Linked DNA regions of Oryctolagus cuniculus. The protein of the gene in region 1 interacts with the protein of each later gene in a pairwise test. Links are inferred from orthologs where the notes say so. Each region holds a gene or a part of one and is shown in the gene's direction. Other genes may lie near its edges.

The links.
Region 2: the proteins of DMRTB1 (region 1) and EXOSC1 interact in a two-hybrid assay, tested with the Homo sapiens proteins (2 studies listed by BioGRID). The link is inferred for Oryctolagus cuniculus from reciprocal best matches to the Homo sapiens genes DMRTB1 and EXOSC1.
Region 3: the proteins of DMRTB1 (region 1) and NIF3L1 interact in a two-hybrid assay, tested with the Homo sapiens proteins (2 studies listed by BioGRID and IntAct). The two-hybrid records come from large-scale screens. The link is inferred for Oryctolagus cuniculus from reciprocal best matches to the Homo sapiens genes DMRTB1 and NIF3L1.
Region 4: the proteins of DMRTB1 (region 1) and VASP interact in a two-hybrid assay, tested with the Homo sapiens proteins (2 studies listed by BioGRID and IntAct). The two-hybrid records come from large-scale screens. The link is inferred for Oryctolagus cuniculus from reciprocal best matches to the Homo sapiens genes DMRTB1 and VASP.
Region 5: the proteins of DMRTB1 (region 1) and SLAIN1 interact in a two-hybrid assay, tested with the Homo sapiens proteins (2 studies listed by BioGRID). The link is inferred for Oryctolagus cuniculus from reciprocal best matches to the Homo sapiens genes DMRTB1 and SLAIN1.
Region 6: the proteins of DMRTB1 (region 1) and RBPMS interact in a two-hybrid assay, tested with the Homo sapiens proteins (2 studies listed by BioGRID). The link is inferred for Oryctolagus cuniculus from reciprocal best matches to the Homo sapiens genes DMRTB1 and RBPMS.
Region 7: the proteins of DMRTB1 (region 1) and RBFOX2 interact in a two-hybrid assay, tested with the Homo sapiens proteins (3 studies listed by BioGRID). The link is inferred for Oryctolagus cuniculus from reciprocal best matches to the Homo sapiens genes DMRTB1 and RBFOX2.

Annotation. Positions count from the first base shown.
Region 1 is NC_091438.1:119,539,930-119,544,219, reverse strand, and holds the start of DMRTB1 (doublesex- and mab-3-related transcription factor B1), read left to right. Parts: upstream 1-1,490; 5' UTR 1,491-1,784; coding exon 1,785-2,580; intron 2,581-4,290.
Region 2 is NC_091446.1:32,396,776-32,401,074, forward strand, and holds the start of EXOSC1 (exosome complex component CSL4), read left to right. Parts: upstream 1-1,499; 5' UTR 1,500-1,623; coding exon 1,624-1,654; intron 1,655-1,761; coding exon 1,762-1,877; intron 1,878-2,988; coding exon 2,989-3,063; intron 3,064-4,299. UniProt on the Homo sapiens protein: Non-catalytic component of the RNA exosome complex which has 3'->5' exoribonuclease activity and participates in a multitude of cellular RNA processing and degradation events.
Region 3 is NC_091434.1:39,117,357-39,121,516, reverse strand, and holds the start of NIF3L1 (NIF3-like protein 1), read left to right. Parts: upstream 1-1,360; 5' UTR 1,361-1,462; exon of another isoform or gene 1,463-1,507; intron 1,508-3,216; exon of another isoform or gene 3,217-3,309; 5' UTR 3,310-3,393; intron 3,394-3,490; 5' UTR 3,491-3,515; coding exon 3,516-3,951; intron 3,952-4,160. Other genes in the region: PPIL3 (peptidyl-prolyl cis-trans isomerase-like 3), read right to left, coding at 70-72. UniProt on the Homo sapiens protein: May function as a transcriptional corepressor through its interaction with COPS2, negatively regulating the expression of genes involved in neuronal differentiation.
Region 4 is NC_091449.1:11,380,990-11,384,489, reverse strand, and holds part of VASP (vasodilator-stimulated phosphoprotein), read left to right. Parts: intron 1-2,367; coding exon 2,368-2,539; intron 2,540-2,620; coding exon 2,621-2,786; intron 2,787-3,410; coding exon 3,411-3,495; intron 3,496-3,500. UniProt on the Homo sapiens protein: Ena/VASP proteins are actin-associated proteins involved in a range of processes dependent on cytoskeleton remodeling and cell polarity such as axon guidance, lamellipodial and filopodial dynamics, platelet activation and cell migration.
Region 5 is NC_091440.1:34,625,649-34,629,148, reverse strand, and holds part of SLAIN1 (SLAIN motif-containing protein 1), read left to right. Parts: intron 1-1,737; coding exon 1,738-2,020; intron 2,021-3,500. UniProt on the Homo sapiens protein: Microtubule plus-end tracking protein that might be involved in the regulation of cytoplasmic microtubule dynamics, microtubule organization and microtubule elongation.
Region 6 is NC_091433.1:80,425,921-80,429,973, forward strand, and holds the start of RBPMS (RNA-binding protein with multiple splicing), read left to right. Parts: upstream 1-1,253; 5' UTR 1,254-1,535; coding exon 1,536-1,601; intron 1,602-4,053. Other genes in the region: collagen alpha-2(I) chain-like, read right to left, coding at 369-1,139.
Region 7 is NC_091442.1:113,182,136-113,185,635, reverse strand, and holds part of RBFOX2 (RNA binding protein fox-1 homolog 2), read left to right. Parts: intron 1-975; coding exon 976-1,064; intron 1,065-1,426; coding exon 1,427-1,499; intron 1,500-3,063; coding exon 3,064-3,118; 3' UTR 3,119-3,500. UniProt on the Homo sapiens protein: RNA-binding protein that regulates alternative splicing events by binding to 5'-UGCAUGU-3' elements. Prevents binding of U2AF2 to the 3'-splice site.

The DNA of each region.
Region 1 (4,290 bases):
TTGAGGAAAAGAGCTTGCCTATCCTTTATCCAAAGGATCATGCTTTTAAAATAAAAAAAAAAAATCATGTAGGGGTGGGCCTTTGATCTAGTTGTTAAGATGTCTGCATCCCCCATGGAAGTATTTGGGTTCGAGTCCCAGTCCTGCTCCTGATTCCAGCTTCCACCTAACGTACACCCTGGGAGGCAGCAGGTGATCGCTTGAGTATCTGGATTCCTGCCACTCATGTGGGAGACCCAGAAAGAGTTCCTGGTTCCTGGCTGTGGCCTGGCTCAGCACCGCTATTTTTTTTAAGATGTATATATTTATTTGAAATGTAGACTTACAGAGAGAGAGAGAGAGAGAGAGAGAGAGAATCTTCCATCTGCTGGTTCACTCCCTAAATGGCTGCGATGACCAGGGGTGAGCCAGGTGGAAGCCAGGAGCCAGGAGCTTCCTCCAGGTCCTGCACGTGGTGCAGGAGCCCAAAGACTTGGGCCCTCCCAGGTATACTAGCAGGGAGCTGGACTGGAAGTGAAACAGCCTGGACTTGAACCAGAGCCCACATGGGATGCTGGTGCTGCAGCTATAGCCATAGCCCAACCTGCTGTACCACAGCGCCTGCCCTGTTATGGACATTTAAATGGGAGTGAACCAGTAGATGGGACCTCCGTCTGTCAGTCTGCCTCTCGGATGAATATAAATAATTTTAAAAAATATATAGTGTTAAGAGTGAAGCAGAGACAAAGGTAGCCCTCTTTAAATGAATGCAAAGCTAACGGCAGCATTCCTAAAGAATACAGGTGACATCTACTTTTGCCCTGTTATTAAGATGAAGAATATTCTTTTAAGCAGAAAAAGACTACAAACCTCCTCTCAGCTTTCTACCCTCTCACGGGTCTCAGAAAGGCAATGGTTTCCTATCCCCAGGCAGCTGGTGAGACGGCAGGGTGCACAGCTAGGCCGCACCTGCCATGCTAGCCAGGAAGAGCATCCTGAACAGAGAGAGGGCAGTAGCGGACACACACTTCAGCCAGCGGCTAACCTTCACTGCCTCCTTCAGTAGGGTCAGCCTACGATTAGAAGCCTGTCAGCGGTTAGCGGCCCATCCCACACCTCTTTTTTTTTTTTTTTCTTTGCCCAAATAAAAGGACCTCAGGGATTCACCAATTTCTATTAAAAAAGAGAGAGAAATCAAGAATACGTATTGATTTAGTGCCCCTGGGTAAACTATGAAGCCTGTGCCGACTTTTCCCAAGACCTGGATTGTTTCAGAGCGACAACCAAAGAGTTAAGCAATGCTTCAAGCCAGTGCCAAAATACCCTTGGTTTATTTTACTTGAAAACATTCTAAGCATGTTTGCCTCCCGAAGGCATCAGCAACAGAAAAGCACCATTTCCAGAAACGGATTCCTATCCCAACACTCTTCCCCAGCCGGAATGACTGGAAGGACACACCCTTCAGCAACCCCCACGCGGCACAGAGTGCCCGAGAATATTCTAGAAGCCTCCCCGTGAACGGCTGTTTCTCTACAAGGAGGAGACATGAGCTTCCGCAGAAGCAGCAGCCTCGGGAAGGAGAAAGGCGTTCTGCCTCTTAAAGTGCTTTTATACTGTCACGGGTTTACTAAGAGGCGATTTTCTAAAGTTTTAAATCTGTGGGCCGCTGGGTATCACTCCGCCTTTTTTTTTTAATCACGAAGTACCTCCCGTCTTGGGATGGCGGGAATATCGAGTTTGAAAAATTAAATGCCTGAGACTACGGATATTCCAGATGACATGCATGCAATAGCACTCCATGAAGAATGTATTTAACCCAATCCCTTGCACCTACTTACCAAAGGCACAGAAATCCCAACGTTTGCACTGCACCGAAAAAAAAAAGGGCGAGAGAATGCAAGGGTCTGGCGGCAGTTTTTGGGCGTTTCTCGGGACGCACTACGTGCCGGTTTGCTACAAGTGTATCCACTGTCCCCAGCACCAGGGACTTGTGGGGCGCAGTTCACTGCTGCGCCACTTGCTCCGCGGCTCCCCGAGGTGGCGGTTGCACGATGAAGGCAGACGCTGCTAAACTGGCCGACAAGATGCTGCGCGCCCCCAAGTGCTCCAGGTGCCGCAACCACGGCTTCCTGGTGCCCGTCAAGGGCCACGCGGGAAAGTGCGGCTGGAAGCAGTGCACCTGCGACAAGTGCTGCCTGATCACCGAGCGCCAGAAGATCATGGCCGCGCAGAAGGTGCTCAGGAAGCAGGCCTCGGAGGAGGAGCAGGAGCTGGCCCTGGGCCCTCAGGCGCCTGAGCTGGCCGCCGGGGCGGTGGCTGGGGCCGCGGCCGCCAGCCAGGGCCCAGGCCTCCACCTGCTGCCTCCGCCGGCGGCTTCGGGAGATCTCCGGCCGGAGCCCGAGGGCCGCGCGGCTGCCTACTTTTGCGAGAGGCCGCCGCGGGGCCCCAGCCCGGGCCCGAGCGCCTTCCAGCCTGTCCTGGGCGGCCGCGGCCACGTGGCGGCCCAGCTCGGGCTGGAGGCAGCAGGCCTGGGCGGCCCTGGCCACCTGGAGCTGTGCAGGCCGCTGCGGCCCCCGCCCAGCCCGCCGTTCGCGGATTTCGGTAAGATTCCCGCACCTCGCCCTGCCTTGGCGCCGCGTCCGCTCCTCTCCCGGCTGCGGGCTCCCTGCTCCCCGAGCTCGTGGCCCGAGACCCGAACCCACAGAACAGGCCGCTGGGGTAGGGGCTGGCGGGGCCTGGGGGCTCGAGGTGGGGAAGATGCTTGGCTCTGAGCAACCCTTCTCTGAACGAGGATTTGGGATGGGTGTTTTCTTAGAAAAAGCAAAAGAGAAAGGGAGATCGAAAGGACTTTTAATATTTAGGGAGTAGTTTTGGCCTTAAAAAAGATGGCTCCCGGGGCGTTTAGCGGTGGCTCCCCCTGGGGACTCCAGGGAGAGACCAGCCCTACTGCGCCTGCGCTGCTCTTCCGGCTCCTGTCTCACACGGGCGTCCTCTTCCTTCAAGACTTTCTGGCAGGTGGGCGTGGCTCAGCTATCACTGCGCCTGCGCACCCTTCCTTCCCTGGCCGGGAGACTAGAGGCCCAGCCCAGAGTACGCTCCCCGAACCCCAACTCGGTTCAACCCATGAGTGCCTGCGCACCCTTCCTTCCCTGGCGGGTGGTGGGGGGGAACTAGAGGCCCCGCCCAGAGTACTCTCCCCCCAACCCCACCCTTGTTCAATCTATCTGCGCATGCGCACCGCTTTCGGCCATTTTGTCTGGCTAAAGGCTCGTTCTCTAGAACTTTCCGGCCATACCGGGCCTGCGCACATGTCTCTCCCTTTACTCGGTCTGCACGCTCCTCCCCTGAGCTGTGCTCTGGCCCAGTGCACCTGTGCGCCTCTTCCCACCCTTTGCGTGAGAGTGGTTGCCCATGCACTGGCTTGGTCTCCAACAGGGAACGAGATGTTTTTCTCAGCTTTGTGCGTGAACTACATTGTTCTCTGTATCTTGCTGCTTTTGGTATACAGTTTCAAGTCGCCTGTGGACTTTTTAAACATATTTTTTTAAAAAACGGTTATTTGAAAGGCAGAGTTACAGAGAGGGAAAGGCAGAGACATGTAGACTTTACTTTTTTTAAATATTTGTTTATTTAAAAGGCAGAGAGGAGTCTTCCACCTGTTGGTTCACTGCCCAAATACTAGCTGCCAAAGCCAGGAGCCCAGAACTGGATTCTGGTCTCCTGTGTGGGTGGCGGGAAGCCTGGTTCTTGAGTCATCACTTGCTGCCTCCCAAGTGCGTTAGCAGGAAGCCCATGGACACCAGTCTGGGATGTGGGCTTCCTGAGTGGGACCTTTACCCACTGCAGCACCCTCACTTGTAGACTCAAGGCTTTTAAAAACCCAGCTCTTGGAGCGCACTCATTTTCTAGGTATTTTCTCTGTGTCAGTGTGGTAGAAAGGGCACAGAGCTGAGATCTGCCTGCCCTGTAGTCTTGCACAGGTTTCCCTGTCTTCACGCTAAGGGAATTGGTTTGCTCTCTGCAGTCACTTCTGCCTTCTGGGACTTTCCAAGGAAATCCAGGTCCCCAGGGAACTAGCTGTCCGATGGAAAAACAGACCTCCACAGCCATCCTAGTTGCTTACCTTCCCAGGGACGGGATGCCATTCTTGGTTTGCTCCCAGGGATCAGGCACTGAGCACTTGGCCCATGCTGGACGTCAGCAATGTGAAGGGGGGTGGGGGGTGTTGGGTGGAGCCCTCTGCTTGCCCGCAGGGCTCCTGTCTTGGTGGGAGGGACCACGGTGGTCAGATCCTGGTGGAGAGCTCTGCTG
Region 2 (4,299 bases), on another chromosome or scaffold:
CACCCATGGACCACCACGAAATGGACTTCTCCCCCGAGGCGAAGCAAAATTCCAAACATCATGTGCGTCTGAGGAAGGGGCAATCTCAGTGCAGAGAGAAGGGAACAGAGCAAAGGGCAGTTCTACTATTGCACCAAGCACCAACCGGAGTCCTCCTGTCAGCAGCAGCCACAGGCTCTCGTGGCCATCTGCCATCATATTACAGGAGACTACAGGCCAAGGCACCTCCCTCTTCCCAGGGCTCTAAAGCGCCATCTGTTCCCAAGGGGAAACCAATGGGGGGAGGCGAGGGGACAGATTCCAAAGCCACTGGAAGGGAGATGAAGCAGCCAACGTCAGGGGCAGGCGTCTGGCAGTGATTAACACCCTCCTTGGCCTCTCATTCTCAGTCTTCCATTCCAGCTCCCTGCTAATGCGCCTGGGAAAGTAGCAGAGGATGGCCCAAGTGCTTGGGTCCCTACACCCACGTGGGAGACCCGGAAGAAGCTCCTGGCTCCTGGCTGGCCCAGCCCTGGCCATTGCGGCCATTTAAGGAATGAGCCAGTGGATGGAAGATCTCTCTCCTCCTCTCCATGTCTTCCTTTCAAATTAATTAATTAAAAAAAAAAAAATCCTGCTTCCATTGCATATGGAAGATCTCTGTCTCTGTGTCAAATAAATTTAAAAAAATATCAAAGTCGTGCCAATCTCATCTAGACAAAGATGCTGCTCTCAGGATGTGTGCAAGCTCATGCAAGAGATGTCAGAAGTCAGTAAAGAATAGCAACTTACTCACGTGCCCACTTCCCTTCCTGGCTAACCCGCTAAGAGAAAGGGTAGCAACTTTCTCACGGGTCAGTTCGTCAAAAGTTAAAGAAGGGCCCGGACAACTACAGCTGCAGAACGAGCCTTATCTTTCAGGTAGGGCGGCATGGTCAAACCGCGATGCACTGGAAGCCGAAAGCTTGGATCCGGCTTGCGCTCTATCTTGAATTATCTTCAAGGCTCGGGACAAGTCAAACCCTGGCGTTGGATTTCCAAATCTGAGAAATGGGCAAGTTGGGTTGGTTAACTTCTGCTCTGTGCGTTATGGTTGCCCAGAGGGTGCGCCTCGCCCGAGGACTGCTCGGCCTTGCAGGGCGGGGCGAGGAGAGCAAGAAACCAGACTCAAGACAGGGCCCTGGGGCAGGGCCCGACCCTACAAAACAGGGGCTATGAGAGGGAGCAAGGGCCACGGCTTCGCCCCTACCTGCCGCCTGCCAATTCCTCGATCATCCAAATCACGCCCCGCAGCCTCGGCCGCAGCTCACTGCCACCTACTCCAGCCTGGCGCCCCGGGCGGGCCTGGCTCAATCCGTCCCACCATGCCCCGCCAGCCGCAGCGCCTGCCAATGGACCCGGACCCGCCGCCTGCCCATCCTCAACCCTAGGCGCAGGCGCAGGCGCAGGCACACGAGCCCGAAGTTCCGCCCCCGGCCTTCTCCCGGGGAAACCTGGGAAATGGAGTTTGCCCTGCAGGAGGCGTGTCGCCGGGCACGTGACAAAGCCCGCCAATTGGCACGTTCCTTACTGCAGCACTGTGTCTGGGTTCGGCCAACGAGACGTCGGCTTCGTTTCCATCCGGGCTCTGGGACAGTGGCAGTCATGGCGCCACCTGTAAGGTACTGCATCCCCGGTAAGTGCACGGCTCCCGTACGGAGTCCCGGCTAGGGCCAGAGGCAGGAAGGCAGGACGCCTAGCAGCCTCTGGGGACCAGTGACCGATGCAGCGCTCTTTCCGCAGGCGAACGTCTGTGTAACTTGGAGGAGGGCAGCCCAGGCAGCGGCACCTACACACGGCACGGATACATCTTTTCTTCCCTCGCCGGCTGTCTAACGAAGACCAGCGAGAACGGCGCGGTACGCGGGGCGGCTGGCCATCTCCCTTCTTTGTCATGGACTGCCCTTGAGTTCCGGCCCTTAGGCCCGGGTAGGGCAGGCGCGTCCCTGTAGAACGACTTGGTCTCGGTTGGCCGTGGGCGCCGCACACCGGTCGTGTGGACCTCGCGCGGTTGGGGCTGCCGACCCCTAGGGGCAGCTGCGAGCTGAGAGTGACCCCGGCCAATCCGGCAGCCAGCCGAATCCCGCCCGAGTAGTCCCGACCTGTCCGTCTTCATCCGGCTCGGCGGCACTGCCCGCAGTGCAGTTGGCTTGCTTCCCCCGTGTCTCCTGCCATCCGCCTGAACGCGCGCCTCTCCTCGGTCTATGTAACTCTGACCTCGTTCAACTAGCCTCTCGTATCACTTTTTGGAAGGGATTTTGGCGGGGGTGGGGGTGGGGGAGGTTGAGTCTTGTTTTTATTTTGTTAAACTCACTTCCGAGCACTTGTTTCAGCCTGCAAACGCCCAAAGTTCCACGCAAGCAGGCCGCACCACCCACCTTACCTGCAGTGCCCGGCACAAGGCAGATGGTCAGTTGAATACATGAGCGATGTTGTCCTGGCCAGTTCCAGAGATCAAACCAGGACCAGCTCCCGATCAGATACGCAGTCTTGGAAGGAGCAGCTTAAAGATGGGTAGCACAGGAGAAAAAGGATTCAGAATTAGAACGTGCTTGCTCAGAAAGAAAGCCCTACAGATATTCTCTAAAGATAGAAGGAAACCAGTATCCAGTATTATAAAACACTTAGAAATGTTAGCCGGGCAATAAAATAAGAAATAGAAACAGTGCGACTTTGGAGGTCAGAATCAAATCCATGGCTACAGGTAATATAGTGGTGTACTGAGAAATTCCAAGTCACCAAAAAACCAACTCTGCTCTGGAATGGTTAACTTATGTCTTCTACAGCAGCCTTGCCAGGGCCCCCGGGGCTCTTCCTAATGGAAGACCCTCTGTCCTGGACTGTAAATGAATCCATAGTCCATCTGCCTTGTGACCTCAACTCTGTGCCACAGCATTCCTGTCGAACTCTCCAGCCACACTTTACTCAGGGCTTAGCCAGAACATTCATTTTTTACTGTTCTCTTTGTAGCTCCCGGTAGTGTCTGTGATGAGAGAAGCGGAATCCCAATTACTTCCAGATGTGGGCTCTATTGTAACATGTAAGGTAAGTTGTTACCAGCCTCCATGCTTAGGACACCAACCCAGTGCACAGAGCATGATCATTCTTGAACTGCATTGTCCAGTCTGATAGCCACTAGCCTCATATGGCTATTTAAATTTAACAGTGTCAGGGCAAGCATATGACCTAGCGGCTAAGACATCGTTGAAGTACCTGTATCGCATGTTGGAATGCTTGGGTTTGATCCCTGGCTCCATCTGCTGACTTCAGTTTCCTGCTAATGCAGTCTCTGGCAGGCAGCAGGTGGTGGCCCAAGTAGTTAGGCTACTACCACCATGTGGGAGACCTGGATTAAGTACTTGACTCCCAGCCTCAGCCACTGCAGGCACTTAAGGAATAAATCAGTGGGTGGAAGTGTTCTCTTTCTTTCTGTCTCTCAAATAAATATTTCAAAATATGCTAGACAGTACTAACATTTCATTAAGCATACTAACCACTCGCCACATTTCCAGCTCTCAGTAGCTACTGTGGCTAGTGGTTGCTAATTTGGTCAGCACATGGTATTTCTATCATCACAGAATGTCTCACTGGACTGAGTGGTCTGGAGATTTCTAGGAAAATGAACAAAATTTGGGTATGCATAGTTATTTGAGCCGATTCCCTGACTTTGTGGTTCCCTCCAACATCTAGGAAATGGGTGAAAAGGAGACCTAATTTTGAACATCTGTGGCTGCGGCCTTTTTCTGCAGAGAAGCAAAAGACTTTATTCTCTGGAATTCCTATTAAATGTAAAGTCTTTTTTTTTTTTTTTTTTTTTTTGACAGGCAGAGTAGACAGTGAGAGAGAGAGACAGAGAGAAAGGTCTTCCTTTGCCGTTGGTTCACCCTCCAATGGCCGCCGCAGCTAGCATGCTGCGGCCGGCGCACAGCGCTGATCCGAAGCCAGGAGCCAGGTGCTTCTCCTGGTCTCCCATGGGGTGCAGGGCCCAAGCACCTGGGTCATCCTCCACTGCACTCCCGGGCCACAGCAGAGAGCTGGCCTGGAAGAGGGGCAACCGGGACAGAATCTGGTGCCCCAACTGGGACTAGAACCTGGTGTGCCGGCGCCACAGGCGGAGGATTAGCCTAGTGAGCCGCGGCGCCGGCCGAGTCTTTTTTTTTTTTAAGATTTTATTTGTTTATTTGAAGGGGCAGAGTTAGAGAGAGAGAGATGGGAAAAGATCTTGCATCTGCTTGTTCACTCCCCAAATGGCTGCAATGGCCAGGTCTAGGCCAGACCAAA
Region 3 (4,160 bases), on another chromosome or scaffold:
TTCACCTTGTCACTAACAGTTCTAAAAATTACTTATGAAAGATATTTATAAAAATTCTATAAAACTTACCATTTTTCTTCTTGATAGTTCCAGGGAGTTCTTTTTAACTTCTCCGAGTCTTAAGAGAAGCTCAAGAATAAGTCTATTCCCAAAAAGAAGAAAGAATTAAGGTCATTTTCCTGCTGTCTTCATTCACAGAGGCTCATCTTTATTGTAAATAAGAAAAAGCCTGGGGTGGTATCCCATGTAACAAAAATCCAGTTACAGAAGTGATGAGACCCTATGGAATGAAGCCCAGCAATCTGCTACTTCTACTCACTCTTCTCTAAGAGCCTCTTTGCAAGTCCAATAAGCCAGGTACATTCCCACCTTAGAATCCAGGCACTGGCTGGCAACACTAACACTAACACTTTCTTACAGCTAATTTCCTTACCTCTAGGTCTCTCCTCAAATGTCAAGTCTTACTTACCTCACAGCCCTATTTAAACAGCTGCAGGAGCCAGCACTGTGGCTAGTAGGTTAGGGCTCTGCCTGCTGCCTGCCATCCCATGTGGGCGCGGGTTCGAGTCCCGGCTGCTCCACTTGCAATCCAGCTCCCAGCTTGTGGTGTGGGGAAGCAGCAGAGGATGGCCCAAGCGCTTGGGCCTCTGCACCCACGTAGGAGATCGGGAGAAGGCTCCTGGCTCCCGGCTTCGGATCAGCTCAGCTCCGGCCATTGCGGCCATTTGGGGGAGCGAACCACCGAATGGAAGATTCTCTCTCTCTCTCTGCAACTGTCTTTCAAATAAATAAAAATAAACAAATGTTTAAAAATACAGTGCTCGAAACCCAGGACCTGTACTGTTTTCTCTTCCCAAATTACTTATCACTAACATACTAAACATACTAAATCCTTTCCTTACTTATTCTGCCGTTCCAGCAACACATTTGCCACACAGCACGTTCACTCCAAGTGTCCCAAGAACTAACAGTGCAATACAGGGCTCAGCAAGCCCTTGAAAAAGTAAATGAAAGAATGAATGAAGTTGCCCCACACTTACCCACTTCGGTCAGCACAGCCGTTGTTAAACAGCGAAGATGCAATTGCAGAAGCCTGGACAAGTCTTTCGGTTCTCAATTACGAGTTTGGGGGCCACCGGAAGTCGGGCGCGGGACCCATTAGAGAGAGCCTTCTTACCTCCTCTTTCCTCCCTTCTTCTAATATCAAACCAAAATGACTAGCACTAGGGAAACAATGTGATTTATCCGCTAATTTGAAATTTGACGGCGAGGTGCAGCTCTGTTAACTGCACTGGAGTCCGGAGCATAACCCGGAACTACCCGCCAAACTCAGGCAGTGTTTTGGGTACGACTGTAAAACAGGAGGGACCAACTTCCGCCCTGTTCCTCGCTGCCTATAGCCGAAGGCCAGGAGAGCCGGCTCGGGACGGGAAGTGGTGGCTACGGAGGTGTGCCCGGACTCGTGAGTAGTGGGCAATTTAAACCCGAAGAGAGGAGTTGTGGCAGGGTAGGAGATGACTGTTAGACGTGGGTGCTGCAGAAAAAGAGGGCACAAAACTGCCCTGCTGAACGAGCGCAGAGGGCAGTGGTGGGGCGGGGTTCCCGAGGACCTACACACTGTGCCTTCTGACCCTTCACTGCCTGGGAAAGGCTTGAAGTAGCACTGGAGTGAGCTGGAGACGAAGCAAGGCAGAGTCGTTTGCAGGTCGTATTGGCTAGCGATAACACAGGGGCTCTAGGACAGGCATTGTTCCTGCCTTGTGTTTAAATCTCGCCTGCGTACTACGAGCTGGGCGTTTTTATATTCGTCTTTTTACAGGGCAGAACCTCAGAAGTCAGGTACTTTGCCCGTGGTGGCACAGGTGTGGCCGAGGACTGCGGTCTGGCCTCCGTCAGTGCAGTTCACCAGCGTCCTGGGCTGCCACCCACTGTTCTCGCTGCCTGTGGCTCCGGGCTTGGAGCCGCCCGTTCTCTCGTGGCGGTGTTTCACCGCCTTCTTTCCAAGCGCTCTTTCACGTGTAAACGACGGAAACCCTTCGCGGTGGCACGCCGGCTTTGGAGCTGGCCAGATTTACAAGAGTTGGGAGAGTGGATTAGTATCAGGATATGTAATTGGAGGGTGGAAGTGGTGTCAGAACCATTAGATCTTCCAAGACCTTGCGTGGTTTTGGAAAGTGGTTTTGGTTTCAAAGTTGCCCCTCTTCCAGGCCAGCTCTCTGCCGTGGCCAGGGAGTGCAGTGGAGGATGGCCCAAGTGCTTGGGCCCTGCACCCCATGGGAGACCAGGAGAGCACCTGGCTTCTGCCATCGGATCAGCGTGGTGCGCCGGCCGCAGCGCGCTGGCCGCGGCGGCCATTGGAGGGTGAACCAACGGCAAAGGAAGACCTTTCTCTCTGTCTCTCTCTCTCTCATTGTCCATTCTGCCTGTCAAAGAGAGAAAGAGAGAAAGAGAGAGAGAGAGAAAGAGAGAAAGAAAGAGAGAAAGAAAGAGAGAAAGAGAGAAAGAGAGAGAGAGAGAGAAAGAGAGAAAGAGGGAAAGAGAGAAAGAGAGAAAGAAAGAATTAACCAGGGGTGAGCATTTTGGCATAGTGGTTAGGATGCTGCTTAGGACTCTGGCATTCTATTCTGAAATGCCTGGATTCAAGCCCCAGCTTCTGATTCCGGTTCCCTGCCAATGTACCCCTGGGAGGCAGCAGTGGTGGGTCAAGTCCTTGGGTCCCTGCCACCCATGGGGGAGACCTAGATTGAGTTCTAGGCTTCTGGCTTCCATCTTGTGGTCATTTGAATAAAATATGAAAGTAAATAACAGTGTAAAAAGTAATATATTGAGTATCCACATCCTATTAAAATATTTTTGCAATAGACATTGTGAAAAAATTTATTTTTGCTATCACTGTGTTATGCTTATTCATTAAATTTATAGTTGGCTATATTTCTTGTATTTCACTGTAGTAACAAAAAGCTAATGTACACTCTGGAGGACCTGTGAAGTAGGTTATAGTCTCCATTTTTTATTTTACTTTTTACAACATTTATTTGAAACCCAGAGTTAGAGAGAGAGATCTTCCATCTGCTGGTTCATTCCCCAGATGGCCACAATGGCCTTGGCTGGGCCAGTCTGAAGCCAGGAGTTAGGAATTCCATCTGGATCTCCCATGTGGGTGGCAAAGGTCCAAGCACTTGGTCCATTTTTCACTGCTTTCTCCGGGCGCATTAGCAGGCAGCTGGATCAGAAGTGGAGCAACTAGAATTGAGGATGGCGGCCTTGGAAGAGGCAGCTTAACCCACTGTGCTGCAACGCTGGCCCCAGTCTCTGTTTTTCAGATGAGCAAACAAAAAAGCTACAAGAGGTTAAATGACTGAGCTAAGTGGCAGAGGCAGTATTTGAACCCAGGTTAGTATGACAGCAGCTCTTTGACTCAGATGCTTTGAAGCCTCGGAGGTGCAGGCCTGAACTGTACATGTGTACTCTTCTCTGTGTTTGACTTCAGAAACTGAGCGTTGCCTGCTTGCTGTATGTTGTCATCTTGTGCACGCCTGGCCCCCTCGACAGTCCGGCTTGTCCATTCTCTGAACTGCAGTTCTTCCCGTTCCTTCATGGATCTGAAGGCGCTCATCTCCTCCTTGAATGACTTTGCATCCCTGTCTTTTGCTGAAAGTTGGGACAATGTTGGGTTGCTGGTGGAACCAAGCCCACCACATACTGTGAATACACTCTTCCTGACCAATGACTTGACTGAGCCAGTGATGGAGGAGGCTCTGCAAAAGAAGGCGGATCTCATCCTTTCCTACCATCCACCCATCTTCCTACCCATGAAGCGCATAACCTGGAAGTCCTGGAAGGAGCGCCTGGTGATCCGGGCTTTGGAGAACAGAGTTGCCATCTACTCTCCTCACACAGCCTATGACGCTGCACCCCAGGGAGTGAACAACTGGCTGTCCAAAGGGCTCGGTGAGAAGCCTCTTGTTCTTTCATATTTGATACTTTCTCTACAAATACTTTGAAATTTTAGAATGTCTTTCCAGTAGAGTTTTAATGTTTTAGGGGTAAGCAGGGTATTCTATTTTTATATACTTTGAAATAATGTTGCTGAAATATGGCAATTAAATTGCCTTTGAGAAATGAAACATCTTTTACCCTTAATGAGTGAGGAGAGAGCA
Region 4 (3,500 bases), on another chromosome or scaffold:
GGAAGAGTGAAGCGAGGGCCCCGTGCCCACGGCCCCCAGCCCCCAGCCTGCCTCCGCCTCCCGCCACAGCGTGTGACGCTGTTAGCAGCCTCCACACTTTTGGGGGAAAGACAGACTCTTGAGCCACCCAGCCTTTTCCTCATCTTTCCGTGAGGTTAAAACGTAAGTGGGCTTGGAGTAAGTGGGCTCGCGTCTTAAATGAGATCAGACAGGAGCCCCGGTGCTTTCGTGCAGTGTGACCTGGGCCAAGTGTCTTCACCTCTCTGTGCCCGGGCAGGCAGCGGGGTTGGTCTCCTGAGGCTGTGGGGTCGTGGGAGCCGGGAGCGCGGTCTGGGCCGCCAGCCACTGTGCCGCCGGGTTTGCCTTTTTACTCGGATGTGTTCAGAGCGTGTGCTAGGCGCCCTCCAGGTTCCGGGGACGCAGTGGTGCGCAGAGGGGCGAGTATCCCTGCCCCGCTGGACCTGGTGCTTTGGCAAGGCAGACAGGCGCGTGCCAAGCAGGGACGCTGCTGGAAACCGTGTCGCGGGGAAGCCGGAGGAAGATGAGGTGGCCAGGGAGGGCTTCTGGGAAGAGGTGACGTCTGAAGGGGGCTGCACCTGCACAGGGCTCGGGCAGGCCTTGGTCAGTGGGCGCTGGGAGAGGAGACTGGAGAGCAGGCAGGGCACCCAGGCCGGCAGGAACCTGGTGTGGATCCTGCAGAGTGGGGCATGGTGCTGCCCCTCCTCTGGGTCTCAGCCGGATCCCTGTGCTCTCACGGGGCAGGAGTCGGAGCCGCCCAGGGTCGCCCAGCAGGTGCCTGGCCCCGAGGCCAGGCCAGAGCCTCAGCAGGGCAGGGCCAGCTGGGAGCCCAAAGTACAGCCAGGGTGGGGCAGTGGCCCCGGGCGCCGGGCCAGAGCCTGCCCTGGGTGTGGGTGGCAGGTGTGGGCGCGGCCTTAGCCCTACCTGCCCTGCCGGGGGCAGTGGGAACCAGAAACAGCCCTGGAGGCCTGCTTCTCTGGCTTGCACCTGGTGTTTGGGCAGGGCCGGCGCAGTCCCCGGGGGGCAAGACTGCGGACCTGGGTTCGAATCCTGCCCCTGCCGCTGCTTTAGCAGTGTGTGCGGGGGCGCATCCCGGCCCTGGTCGCCTCTGAGCCGAGGGGGAGGTCATGTCCGCCCCAGGACTGCCGTGAGGGTGCCAGGCTGGGCCGTGTCAGTGGTCAGTGTCACACCCCAGCACCCGCCCGGTGGAGACAGAGCCTCTGTGGGTGTCATTCCCCGCCCCCCCAGCCGCCAACTTCCTCTTTTCAGGAAAAACCCACGGTGGGGGGCACCCAGCCGAGGCCGGCGCTTCCCCCTGGGCTGTGCGACCTTGGGCGAGTCACTTCCCCTGGGGGAGCCTGGGGTTCCTCATTGGGGGAGGGGGGCTCCGACCTCCCAGGAACGGTGGGAGGTCCCCGGCCGGCCACAGGGTGACCGCAGCACGGAAGCCGAGGCCGACCGGGCACCCAGCCCTCATTTCCCGTGTGCAGGCTCCGGCCTCGGGGCTCTGCAGGGACTTGAATCCACGCCTGCGGACGGCAGACTGGAACTCTGACCCCCTCCTGCAGAGTGGGCAGCAGGCCCCGCGTCCTCCATGCCTGTAGCCTGGGCGGCTCCTTGGTCCAAGCCCTGGGCATCACGGCCTAGGGACCCGTGTCTTGAGGCACTGGACTGTGAGCCCTGGGAGGGTGTGGCCAGGGCCATCTGGGCCACTGCTGTGTCATTGTCCCCAGTGGCACCCAACACAGGCCCGTAGTGCCCAGGGGAGCCGGAAGGATGCAGTGGGGGCCCGGCACCCCCTTGCAGTGGAGAGCAGGGGTCTGTGCTGTCCCCGGCCGGCCACAGGCCTCCCCTCCCCCTCCCCGACCTCAGCTTCCTCTTCTGCTCTGAGCAGCAGGGGGGGCATCCAAAACTTGGCAGAGAGGGAAACTGAGGTAGGGCTGGCCCCAGAGCAGCTCAGGGCACCTTCCTCCCTCCCCTGCGTCTCCATGTCTCCTCTTCCTGTTTCTCCCCATCCATCTCACACCCCCCAGGGCGCACTGGTCTCAGCTGCCCCCCGTCCAGCATCTTCTCTGCCTGGGTCTCCTGGGGGGGGGGGCTGTGTCACGCCCTCTCCCCCTCGCAGCGTCTCCCAGGGAGACCCTGGTGGCGAGGGTGACCCCGCCTCCCCTGCCCCTGGTGGCGAGGGTGACCCCGCCTCCCCTGCCCCTGGTGGCGAGGGTGACCCCGCCTCCCCTGCCCCTGGTGGCGAGGGTGACCCCGCCTCCCCTGCCCCTGGTGGTGAGGGTGACCCCGCCTCCCCTGCCCCTGGTGGCGAGGGTGACCCCGCCTCCCCTGCGCCTCCCGCAGTGAGATGGTCGTGTGCACCAGCCGGGCCAAGGTGATGCTTTACGATGACAGCAACAAGCAATGGCTCCCCGCGGGCACGGGGCCCCAGGCCTTCAGCCGCGTGCAGATCTACCACAACCCCACGGCCAATTCCTTCCGGGTCGTGGGCCGCAAGATGCAGCCGGACCAGCAGGTGCGCGTCCCCCCCGATCCCCCCCACACACTGGGGCCGCCCCCTGGGCCACCGCCCTCACCCCGCTTTCCCTGCCTCCAGGTGGTCATCAACTGTGCCATCGTCCGGGGCATCAAGTACAATCAGGCCACCCCCAACTTCCACCAGTGGCGCGACGCCCGCCAGGTCTGGGGCCTCAACTTTGGCAGCAAGGAGGACGCGGCGCAGTTCGCCGCCGGCATGGCCGAGGCCCTAGAGGCCTTGGAAGGTGGGTGCCGGCCGCCGGCTGGGGCCTCGGGTTACCCATCTCGAAAATGGAGCCGCTCGGTCGCTACTGTGGGACATCACAGGGCTCCTGTGTGGACTCCGGAGGACGCAGCCTGGTCCCAGCCCCCAGGAGCCCCCGCAGCCCGTGCTGGCTTCTGTCACCAGCCCCGGCGTCAGGAAAGCCTCCAGGCCTGCTCTCCCAGGGCTCACCTGGGGAATGTGGGTGGGGCCCGAGACTGCACAGCTCACAGCCCCCTGCGATGCCAGGGCTGCCAGCCCTGGACCTGAGGTCAGCCGCTGACCTCCGCTGCCCGCCCTGCCTCTGGGGTGTGGCATAGCCACTGTGGAACCGAAACTGCCCACACACAGAGGTGGTTGCGACTCCGGGCCCCCTGGCCACCCGGGGCTGGGCAGGACCGAGGGAGGCAAGGGGGAGGGGTCCACCTGGACTCGGCTTCCCCACTGTCCCCGGGCGTCCTGGCCGCCCTGGCAGGGGGAGTGGTGTCGCCCCTGCCCAGGGTCTGGGGGAGGAAGGAAGTGAGTGCCCCTGGGTGGGATTCCTGAGCCGGGTGGGGGAGGCCACAGGCAAGGCTGACCCCGGCTCTGTCTCCCCTGCCACCCCCAGGAGGTGGGCCTCCGCCGCCCCCAGCACCTGCCGCGTGGGCCAGCCAGAACGGCCCCTCCCCGGAAGAGGTGGAGCAGCACAAAAGGTAGG
Region 5 (3,500 bases), on another chromosome or scaffold:
TCCTCATCTCTCCCATGTGATCGATTACCAGAGTTAGCCCACAGTGACTACAGCCCCCATCCATGCTGGTGCATGAAGTGCACAAAGGATCTGTGTGGTCCTCAGTGTGAGCAAGGAACCCTCTTTAGTGACCCTCCCCAATCTGTCAGCAACTTCTGAGCCTATGATGCCATACACAGTGATTGCCTAGAGACTCAGCTATACCCCCGTCCTATCATGCAATCACAGAATTCTCACAGTTGCTGAATGCAAGGCTCTCACGGCCAAGGGGTGCAGAGGATCCACTTGACCCCATGAGCCTGCACTGTCCATGGAGAGAACAGAGACATTCCCAGAGCCAGCTGCTTGTGGAGATTACACCTTGGCAATTGGAGCCTGTGATAGGTCAAGAGGTTGGGGCACCTCACAGTCCTGTGTAGGTGCGCAGCCCCCTGTCAACCCTCCCAGCCAGGTTCAAAGTCAGCAGGGAATGTGGCTTTTCTCATCTTTTAATTGTTTTTCCATGAACCTTTGAAATTCCCTCATATTTCATCATTTCTGTGTATAGATTTTACCTAATATATACTTGAACAAAACTAATTTTTTAAAGTTTCAAGAGATATTAAACTAAAAAAAAGATAGATACATCTTATCATTCTCCCTTCCTATTTTTATTAAAAGAATATATCATTTACTTTATGATTAAGTTAAATATTAGACTATTTTAGAAAATGTATTCACATTTAACTGAATTGTAGGTGGTAGGCAACAGAGACTAGGGTACTTAGTAAATGAACAGAATTGTGTGTATGAGTTCTTGTTAAATTTGTGATTTTTTTTTTTAGAGAAAGTGATTATAGAATTTAAAATTTTCTGCTGGGTCTCATGTATCATAATGGTTAAAGCCACCTCCTGCAATGCTGGCATCCCATATGTATGCTGGTTCATGTCCTGAATGCTCCACTTCCCATCCATCTCCATGCTCCTGGCCTAGGAAAAGCAGCCAAAGATGGCTCAAGTGTTTGGGCCCCTGTTACACACATGGGAGACCTGAAAGAAGTTCCTGGCTTTGTCCTGGCCCAGCTCAGGCCATTGAGTCCACTTGGAAGTGAATCGGTGGATGCAATATCTCTGTCTCCCTCTCTAACTCTGACTTTAAATAAATAAATCTTTTCAAACAAGTGATGATAGCTAGTACTTGTTGAGCGTTGCTAAGTGCCAGGCACTATTCTGAAGTTTCATTTGGATTGATTAATTCAGTCTTACCGGTCACCCTGGGATGTAGATAAATGGCATAATGAATATTTAAAGAAGATGTCCGTAATAACCTGCTTGTGACCACAGATATCACTCTGTCTTCATTTCTACTGCAACTATTAAACTGTCCCCTTATTTTTTATTTTCATAAAAACATTCCCACAGGTAGCATCAAGAAATCTGAATGTCTTCAAGTGAACAAGGGAGAATTTGTCTTCCAAGAACTCAGGGGATTATTATTTTTACTAAAAGAAAGGAGACTGTGCTTAGAACTGACTTCTGAATGTGGGTAGACACTCCACTGCATTGCTGGTGAACCAAACAGGAGAGTCTTATGTAGCATTAGCAATTTGCATTACAAAATGCTGCCTAGAACCTGTCTTTAACTCCCCCATGTATGTTGTACTCTGAAACAAAATAGGTTCTTCCAAATATAGCACACATTTCTTAGGTTGGATAGAAGTAGACGTTTCCTCACATGAACTTGATTTTCTCTTCTAGTTCCGTCACCAGGACAAATTCAGCACAGAGTCCACAGCGTGGGACACTTTCCCGTGTCTGTACGACAACCTCTTAAAGCCACAGCCTACGTGAGTCCCACCGTTCAAGGCAGCAGTAACATGCCTTTGTCCAGTGGCTTGCAGTTGTATTCCAACACAGGAATCCCCACACCAAACAAAGCTGCAGCGTCTGGGACAATGGGCCGCAGCGCGCTTCCAAGACCTTCTTTGGCAATAAATGGGAGTAATCTGCCTCGAAGCAAAATTGCACAACCTGTTAGAAGGTGAGCGTCTCTCTGCATAACTTCACTTACAGATTGGAATTTAAAATTGCCCCCAGGAAGAATCCGGATTTTCCTTTTGGTTCGGTTTGACTTTGGTAGGTCACTGCCCTCTGTGGCCGGAGTTACGTCCTCCTCTGTCTTAGAAAGCGATGGGTCTGGTTGTGTGGTCAGGTCCCCTTCCCTGTGACATCATGCTCTTCTCTTCCTCTCTTATCACTCACTCTTTCCTGTAGCTGTCTGCTTTTTCTTTAATTTCCTGAATGAGCTGCATCTCCGGTGCTTTTGTGTTTCTCTTCCCTGCTATGACTTGCCATCCGCTTCCTTCAGGTCTTTGTCCAATGACTTTCCACCCTAAGTTGCCAGCTCCATGAGGGCTGGTGACAGTTGTCTCATTTGTTTCCTACCATATATCCCCAGTGCCAAGAACTATGCCTGGCAGATAAGAGGTCTCCAATGCATGTTGAGTCAATTACTTTTGACCAAAATATGGAAAAATATCTCAGGTACATCTGCTTATGTATACCCTCCCTCACACTTGAGGTTTAAAAAACATCATAGAGACATTGAGCTGGGCTTTGTAAGAGTAGTCAGTTCAGTCTTGCTGGTAAGTTCCATATGGTCCCAGGTGAATTTTTTCCTTACCTTCAAAATTCCATGTTCTTTGCAGAGGACATTTTGGCCCAGCTCCTCCTGATTATGATGTCCACTTCTCCAACTGAGTCTCTTCAAGTGGCATGGGGCTGACACTTGAGACAGCTGTTCATCTACTGCCTGGGACAGCCATCCCGTATCAGAGAGCCTGAGGTTGAGTCCTGGCTCCACTTTTTGGCTTTTTTTCTAATTCAGACCCCAGGAGGTAGCAGTGATGGCTCAAGTAATTGGGCTCCTGCCATCTACATGGGAGACCTGGGTTGAGTTCTTTGCCATGAGATGAGTGGTCGGTCTATCTCTCTACCTCTTAAACACAATAAATAAAATTTAAAATTACAAATTTATAAAAGTGGATTGAGGAGAGAGTAGGAGATAAGAAAATTGCAAAAGTAGACAGAGACAACTCTTATAAGAAATTAGAATATGAGGGAGGAGTGGGAGGGAACCACTGTAGAAGTTTAAAAGGTATGTAGGAGCAAGTAATTTTTTGACTTAGATATTGATGTGCACATTAGTAGTCTTGATTTTTGTCTTCTCATTATAAGTAATGGGTGCTCAGGTCAAAAACAAATTCAGAAACCAATTTTTTTAAAAAAATATTTTGGTTTGGCTGTGCACCTGTCTTTTATTTGGTATGAATGGTTAGGCAAAATACTACAAAAAAAAAATCCTATGTCTTGCCATTTCATGTATAAAAGGATTATGAATGTTTTTACATTTTTAAAGGAAATTGTTTTTCTAAATATAAAAAAATTGAATGTGACATGTGCAGGAAATAACATTTCAATAAAATGTAAGTTAATTGGAACAAAGAAGTGTACATGAATGT
Region 6 (4,053 bases), on another chromosome or scaffold:
AGCGGGAGGCGGCGCTGAACGAACTAGTTGCGAGTTGTAAGGTTATACATTTGTAGCAGTCAAGTTTAGACGCATAACTGGACCCATAAGACAAAAGGCTCCAGGCCCAGAAGAAATGGAAATTTTCTTCATAATGATGTTAGCATCCATGTTGTAAGCCTACAGCGGGCAGGAGGGTGTGAGGCGTGCCCCCCACACTCCGGGGTAACTGCACCCATTTCACGGACGAGAAAATAAAGTAGGCAGTCCCCCAGAGGCGCGGCGGGAACACTAGGCGGGCGCCTCGCTTTGCCCGAATGCCTTGACCCTCCAGGGCTGCCTGCCAAGACTCGTTTAGAAAAGTGCCCACTGTGTGCCGGGGGGCTCATTTAAACAGCCGCGGGATTAGCCGGATAAACAGGGCTCGGTCTCCTTTGCCAGGAAGGCGCTCCCCAAAGAGAGGCCAGGTGAACAATCAACTCCAGAGCGGGCCGGCGGGGGGCTCGCGGGGGGCTCACGGGGGCCCGGCTGTCCCCGGCGTTCCTCCGTCCCGGGCCTCCAAGCCCTCGCCCCGAGGGCGCGACCCGCGTCTCAGCCCCTACCGGCGAGGAGCCCGGGGGCGCGCAGCTCCCTCGTGGAAAGCAGGCAAACAAAAGTGGCACATCCCAGCCCCCGGTCCGCGCACGGCCAGGGCCCGGCTCCCCGAAGCCCCCTCTCCGAGCCGGGGCGCGGGGGACGCCGCGTGCGCCCGGGGACCCGGCTCTCCAGCCTCCCTTGCTCAGCCCGCCCGGCCCTCGCTCTGCCGTCGAGCCGGGGCCGGGGTCGGCCGCTTCCGCTCCGCGCCGCCGCCCCTCCCCGGCGCGCGCCATCCGGCCCGGGCCGCGCCGACTCCGCGGCCCCTCCTCCCGCCGGGGGGCTTCGGCGGCCCCCGTCCCGTCCCTGCGGGCTGACGGCGGCAGCCCACGTCCAGGGAGGGCGGAGGGAGGCGGAGAGGGAGGGGAGAGCGGAGAGGGGAGGGAGGGAGGCGAGAGAAAGGAGCTGCAGCGGACTCGGACTTCCCAAAGCCGGCCAGGAGCGCGCAGCCAGCGGCTCTCCGCGTCCCAGCGTCCCAGCCGCGGCCGGCGCCTCCTCCTCCTCCTCCTCCTCTCCGGCCGCCCCATCCCTTCCTTCCAGCCTCGCTCTGCTCCGGCAGCGGCAGCCCCCAGCCCCAGCTCTCCGCGCTCACTCCTGGGACGCGCGCCCTCGCCCCATCCTCTCTTCCTCCCTCCCTCCCTTCCTTCCTTCCCTCGCGCCCGCCCTCCCGCCCCAGGTCTCCCTCCCGGTCGCGATTGTCTCCGCGCCCCGCTCGGCCGGCCCGCGCCCGCGCCCTGCCCGCACTTCCTCCCCGAGTCGCCCGCCGCCGTCGTCTGCGCGCCGCGGGAGCCCAGCCCGAGCCTTCGCAGCCCCGCGGCGCCCGCCCGAGGCAGCCCCGGCGCCCCGGGGAAGGCAGAAGCGGGCGAGCGCGCCCTCGCCCAGCCCCGCGCCCCAGCCCTGCCCGGCGACGAAGGACCGGGAAGATGAACAACGGCGGCAAAGCCGAGAAGGAGAACACCCCGAGCGAGGCCAACCTCCAGGAGGAAGAGGTAGCGGTGGCCCGGGCGGGCGGCGGGGCGCGTCCGGGGGCCGGCGCGCCGTGGCCCCGGCTGGGTGCGTCTCCAGGGCGCGGGTTCTGGGGGTGTCCGCGCACCCTGCGCTGCGTGACTTGCAGAACTTTGCGGAGACACCCTCCAAGTAGAATGCTCGGCTTTGTGTGCCCGGGATTTTAAAAGCGGAATCGAGAGCTGACTCCTGGGTGACCTCAGGTTACTGGGACCCGAGGGTCAGGGCTTCTCTGAGCGCCAGGGGCTGGAAGCCGGCGGGAGGGAGTGCGTGTGTCTGTGTGCGTGCGTGCGGGCGGCTTTGGGAAGGAGTTGGGGAGAAGCTCTGTTAGGGGCTGGCGCTGGCGCCGGTGTGAAAAGTTCTTGGCCAAGTCTCTCCGGAGCCGGGGCGTGTGTGGATTCATCGATAACTCGCCGCCCGCGAGGCGGGAACCCCCGAACCCCGGGCTGTGGTAGACTTCGGGGGCGGGGTGTGGATGTGGGGAGCAGAATGAGAGGGGCCGAAAGCGTCGCTCCCGGAATGCTGGCCAGGACGCTGCGGTAGGACTTTGATTTGGGTTGTGCGTCCGGGATCCTGGAGGGGAGACAGCTTGCAGTTGGGGGGCACTTGCCTTTGGCAAACGCGAAGCCGAGGAAGTGTGGGGAAGGGGTGTGCGGGACGCACGTTCCAGAACTCCGTAGTTAGGGGATGATTGTGGGGTTTCTCAAATGACTGTTCCCGCAGCCCCAGAAACAGTGCCTCCGCTCACTTGCTGAGTTCCCTCGAAGTTGGGGCTCTCAGCCTTCCGCCAAGAGCTCGCGCGCGTGTGTGCGGGAGCCAGAGAGCGTGCGGTGCGCGCGGGCGGCGAGGCGGTGCCGCAGCGCCGGGCCCGAGAGTTGGAAGTGGACCTCGTGCAGGAATCCCTCAGCCCTTTTAAGTCGTCCACGTGTAAAATTGGAGCTATTTAATTAAATAGGAGAGACAGGCGAAGACCATGCAAAACAATGCAAAAGGTAGCGCCGTGGAGCAGCGTTGTCACCTGGGTGAGTTAGTAAGCTGAGAATTGGCTCCTGGAGGAAATCGCCTGTTTTATGACAAAGCTTTATTTTGAAAAGCTGTTTGCCCCTTCTTGTTTGGTGCCTGCAAATGTAGGACTACTCGTGACAGTGCTTTTAAAAAGACACCAAGGCTGGAATTCCAAATTCCACTTTCTGGCTTCTCTACTGTTTAGTTTATTTTCCCTGTCCTTTAAAAACTGAAAAATGATGGCAAATTTGCATTTTCAGGAATTGGCATGTGCAGCTAATTCACTTAACCCGTCAAGAGAATCATTGCTTCAGAAACCTTTCTGTTCCACTTAGAGTGGCAATCTGGCCGCTCCTAAGTGTGAGAGTGTATCTTGTGAAACAATCTTTCTCTGTTAACCAGTTGAGGAAACTTGTAGTTAAGAGAAAGTTCATCAGACTGCAGATTTTTTTCTTTTTCTTTTGGTAGTAGCAAAATGGGCTCAGGTGTCTCGAAAACCATATCCAATTAACTTAAAATCGAATGGACGACAGAAGTCAGATTTTTCTCTTGACCCATGCCAGGTGAACTGCCGCCAGGATTTGCCTGGATGGGCTCGGTTATCGCGAGGTTGTGGGTCCCTGTGATCAGAGGCCATCCAAGTCGCAGGCATTGCTTCTAGTTTCCCCAGCAGCGTTCCTTTCCGGGTGGGAAAGGCGTGGGCTCCTCCAGGTGTAGGTCTTTTTAGCAAAACGCTTGTTACTTAAAAAATAAGACAGGAGGTAGGAAGGTTTCAGAACCCAGGTTGTATAAGAAGCGAGAGTATACACTGCGGATACACCCTGACCAGAGAGGGTTTATGGTTGACATTCTGGTTTTGAAACACTAACCTCCTCTCTCTTTCTCCCCCTCCCCTTTTTTTTCCTAACCCTGAAAGCCACAAGTTAAATAAATATGGCATTTGGTGGGTGCCATTCAGTGAGCTTAGCATTGCACAAAATCCCACTGCACTGGCCGCTTTGCCTGCCCACCCAGAGGAGCAGCGGTTTGTTTTCAGAAAGCTTTGGCAATGGGCCGCAGGAGACAGGGCATACACGTGTAACACGGACACGCACACACCAGGACAGGAGGGCTGTTTCTGGTGACTTGTGAACGGCAGTGGACAGTGAGTTCCAATCACCGTGAGAAAACGGTCGATGTTGTGGTTGTCAGGGTGCTTCGGCTGTTTGCCACCTTGTGCAGTCCAAGTTGTGTCATTTTCTATGGAAATGAGTTCCTTTTATCATCCAGTGTATTTTAACCCCGGTTAAGAGTTTCTGATGCCGACCCTGAAAAAGATGCCTAAATCCCCGTTTAGCTCCAGTTGGATAGAATGAGCAGTCCAGCATTTAGGAGAAATTTCTGCAGTTTTTGGTGGTGGGAGTTTTTGAGAACTTGAGCAGAATACACTTT
Region 7 (3,500 bases), on another chromosome or scaffold:
CCCAGGTGGAAGTGCAGGTCGTGTCGGCAGACTTTGTCCACAGAGGGCCAAGGTTAATAGTTTAGTTTTGTAGGCCATGTGGTCTATGTCACAGCTACTTTCAAAGACAGGTGCAAGCTGCCTTGACTCACAGGCCAAAGTTTGCCGACCCCTGCTCTGTGGTGTACCTTCCTAAATGTTGCCTCATCATCGTAGCCTCTTGACAAAGCCCTCCTGGGTTGGATGGAGCAGAGCTACGTGCTGTGGTCTCCCAGCAGCGACTCAATCCAAGCACACATCAGAGCACCTGGAGTTAACACATGTCCACTTAATGGGGGTGTGCTTAACTCTGATGTACATTCCTTGTCAGTTAGCGTTCCCCAGCGTCCCATGACTATTTTCCCATTGTTTTTTCTTTTTATTTGAAAGGCAGAGAAATAGTAAGCATCAGAGCGAGCTCTCGTCCACTGGTTCACCCCCCCCTCCCAGAGACTCTAATCCACATCTCCCATGTTCTTGTCATGCCCTCAACTGCTAGGGCCATGTCCACTGCCTCCCAGGCTGCACAGGGAGCTGGAATCAGGAGTGAGCAGAGCCAGGCCCTGACTCTGTTAGTGTGACCGGGCACGGGCATCCCAAGTCGCGTCTTAACTGCTGCGCCAAACACCTGCCCTGACATTTTCACTGTTGAAATTCCCAGCCAAGACTGTGACGCGAGAAAGATCCAAGCTGCTACTTCCTTGCTCACGTGCAGCAGGTCCCACGTGCACAGTGTGCTGCGTCACAGACGAAAGCAAGTCCCTGCGCTGAATGGATCGCATTTTCTCAGAACCATAACATGCAGACCGAGGCAGTTTGAAACATGCTCTTCCCATATGTTGTCCGTGTTCGTGTCTGTCCCTGTGTCCACACGTGTGTGTATGCGCGTGGGCGGGTGCGTGTTTGCCTGGCCCGGGGGAAGCGTGTCTGTAAAGTCAGTCCTCCTCTCTCCTGTAGGGTGGATATGCAGCCTACAGATACGCACAGCCCGCTACTGCGACCGCAGCCACAGCCGCGGCCGCCGCCGCTGCCGCCTACAGCGACGGGTACGTAGGGCGGGGCCCCGGCCCAGGCACCACGCCCCTTCCTGCCTCTGCCATCTGCCACAGCGCTTCCTCCGTCAGGCTGCCGCCAGCCCAGACGGGGCCCAAATCCCCCCCCCCCTGTGACTTGAACCCCAGCCCCCCCCCCCCCCCCCCCGTTCTTCACCTCGAACCCGCATCTACTCTGGTTTCTAGATGCCCTTCAGGGTGTGTCAGTCACCGCCCTGCGAGTAGAAGCGGGAGAGGTTTCACCCATCCTTGCCAGTCCTCCTGACAACAGCCCGGTCCGAGTGACCCGCGCGTCTCCCACAGCTGCCCTTGCAGTTCGGTAGCTCCCAGCCTCTGACTGTGTTTCTCCTTTTCAGCTATGGCAGGGTGTACACAGCCGACCCCTACCATGCCCTTGCCCCTGCCGCTAGCTATGGAGTTGGCGCTGTGGTGAGTATGTGGACCTTTCTGTCTTGAGCCCTAACTTGTGCCCGCTGACGGGAAAGATCTAGGCAGGTAACGAATCCGGCCCCTCACCCACTGCCAACACAGTAGAGCCCCCGCTCCGTCCCCTCCCCATGCCGTGCCGTGGCCACGTGGCCTGCCTGGGGCAGCGGAGAGAAGGAAGCCGTGAGAGCCTGCGTAAGGGCATCACTCGGTGGAGAAGAGAGGGAGCGAGTGGACGGTTACTCTGTCCACGTTCCAGGTGCCTTCTGTGGCGCAGTGCTATCCATGGGCGTTGGCAGAGGCTTGGGTTGGGGGCATAAGGCTCTCCAGTTTTCACAGAGCTTTTCAAAAAACGTGGTATGTCTGCGTTCCAGACGCAGGTGCCAAGGAATGTCTGCTTCTCTGAAGCCTCCTGGCACCTGGCCCTCGGCATCGCCAAGGGTCACTTCTCAGGTCACTTTGTCCGCAGCAGTTGTGGCAGGACTCGCTCTCGGAAGTCTGCAAGTCTGTGGCACTCAGGTGGAGCACGCCTCCTGACCAGCGCCCTGGCTGGCGTAGCTGGGACTCCCCAGCCGTGACAGGAGACAGGGACACCTCCCGGAGGCACGCGTTGTCTCCAGCCAGTGCAGCTGGGTTGTCTGATCCGAGTGAGGCAGAATGAAGTGTGAAACAGGCCGGATTGGAGTAGGACAGCGTGGTTTCTCGGTAGATGGCTGCGGCTGGCCCGTAGCAGGCCCTGGAAGCCGAAAGCACTTAGACTGAGGTAGCACACACAGCACGAGGACACTCGGGGGCGCTCCTGAGGCCTGCCCTGGCGCCCCCATGATGCAAGTCCCGTACTGGGGACTTCTGGCCGAAGAGATAGACCATTAGATGACATCATTTGAGAAAACAGGAGAACTTTTGGGATCAATCACTAAAACCCCCGCTACAGATACAAGTTCATGTGTGTCAAGACACAACCTGGTTGGCGTATTGTATAGATACAAGTTCATGTATGTCAAGACACAACCTGGTTGGCGTATTGTATAGATACAAGTTCATGTGTGTCAAGACACAACCTGGTTGGCGTATTGTATAGATGGAATAGGAAATAGACTTTGCTAATTGAAAAGACTGACTCGGGTTTGGATACAGAACCACCTTACATAGGACAGAACTGCACTTGCCAAAGGCAGTGGCCTGGTCAGAGTGCTCCATGGTGGGAGGAGGAGGCATCCGCACCTGTCTTTGGCTGGGATGGAGCGGTCGACCAGGTCGGCCTCGAGCCCCGCTGGCACAAAGCACACTCTTTGCAGAACTCGTTTTAACAGTGTCAGGCCTGCTTCTGGGCTGATGGACGTCACCGTGCTCCCTCGAGAGCGTCTGGTCAGCAGGGTGTGCTGGGTGCTGGGCCGCATGCCCACGGGCGAAGCTCTTCGCTGGCCCTGCGTGGGGCAGTGTCTGATTGGTTGTCTTGGCTCTGAAGGAAACCTCTTTCCAGATCCTTTTGCGGGACGTTTTTCTTCATTTTTCATGTTTTCTCTCACCAACCGTTTAATTATTTTTATGTTTTTAATCACTGCAGGCGAGTTTATACCGAGGTGGCTACAGCCGATTTGCCCCCTACTGAAGTGACGTGAGACCCTGCAAGTGGGACAGCCCCCAGTCCATGAGGCCTGGCTATTGCAATATTTACTAAGTAGAGGAACTCTATAGCAAGATGAAGAGGAAAGCAAACACACACACACAAAAAAAAACACAAAAAAAAGAGAATACTTTTTTATACCTCACTATGTTCTTTGAATATGTATTTTTCCTTTAAATTTCTGCCTTTAATTCTTTTGTTCCAAAGATTGTGCATTTTTTTCTTTCTTTTTTTTCTTTTTTTAACTGTGGTAAAAAAAATAATAATGCATTTCCATGTCTGTATGTCCGTGCTTAGCTTATTCTGTCAGTCACGGAAGAGGAAGTGAATGAGGAAGGAGAGACATTAGGAGCTGATAAATGCATCTGATCAGAAAT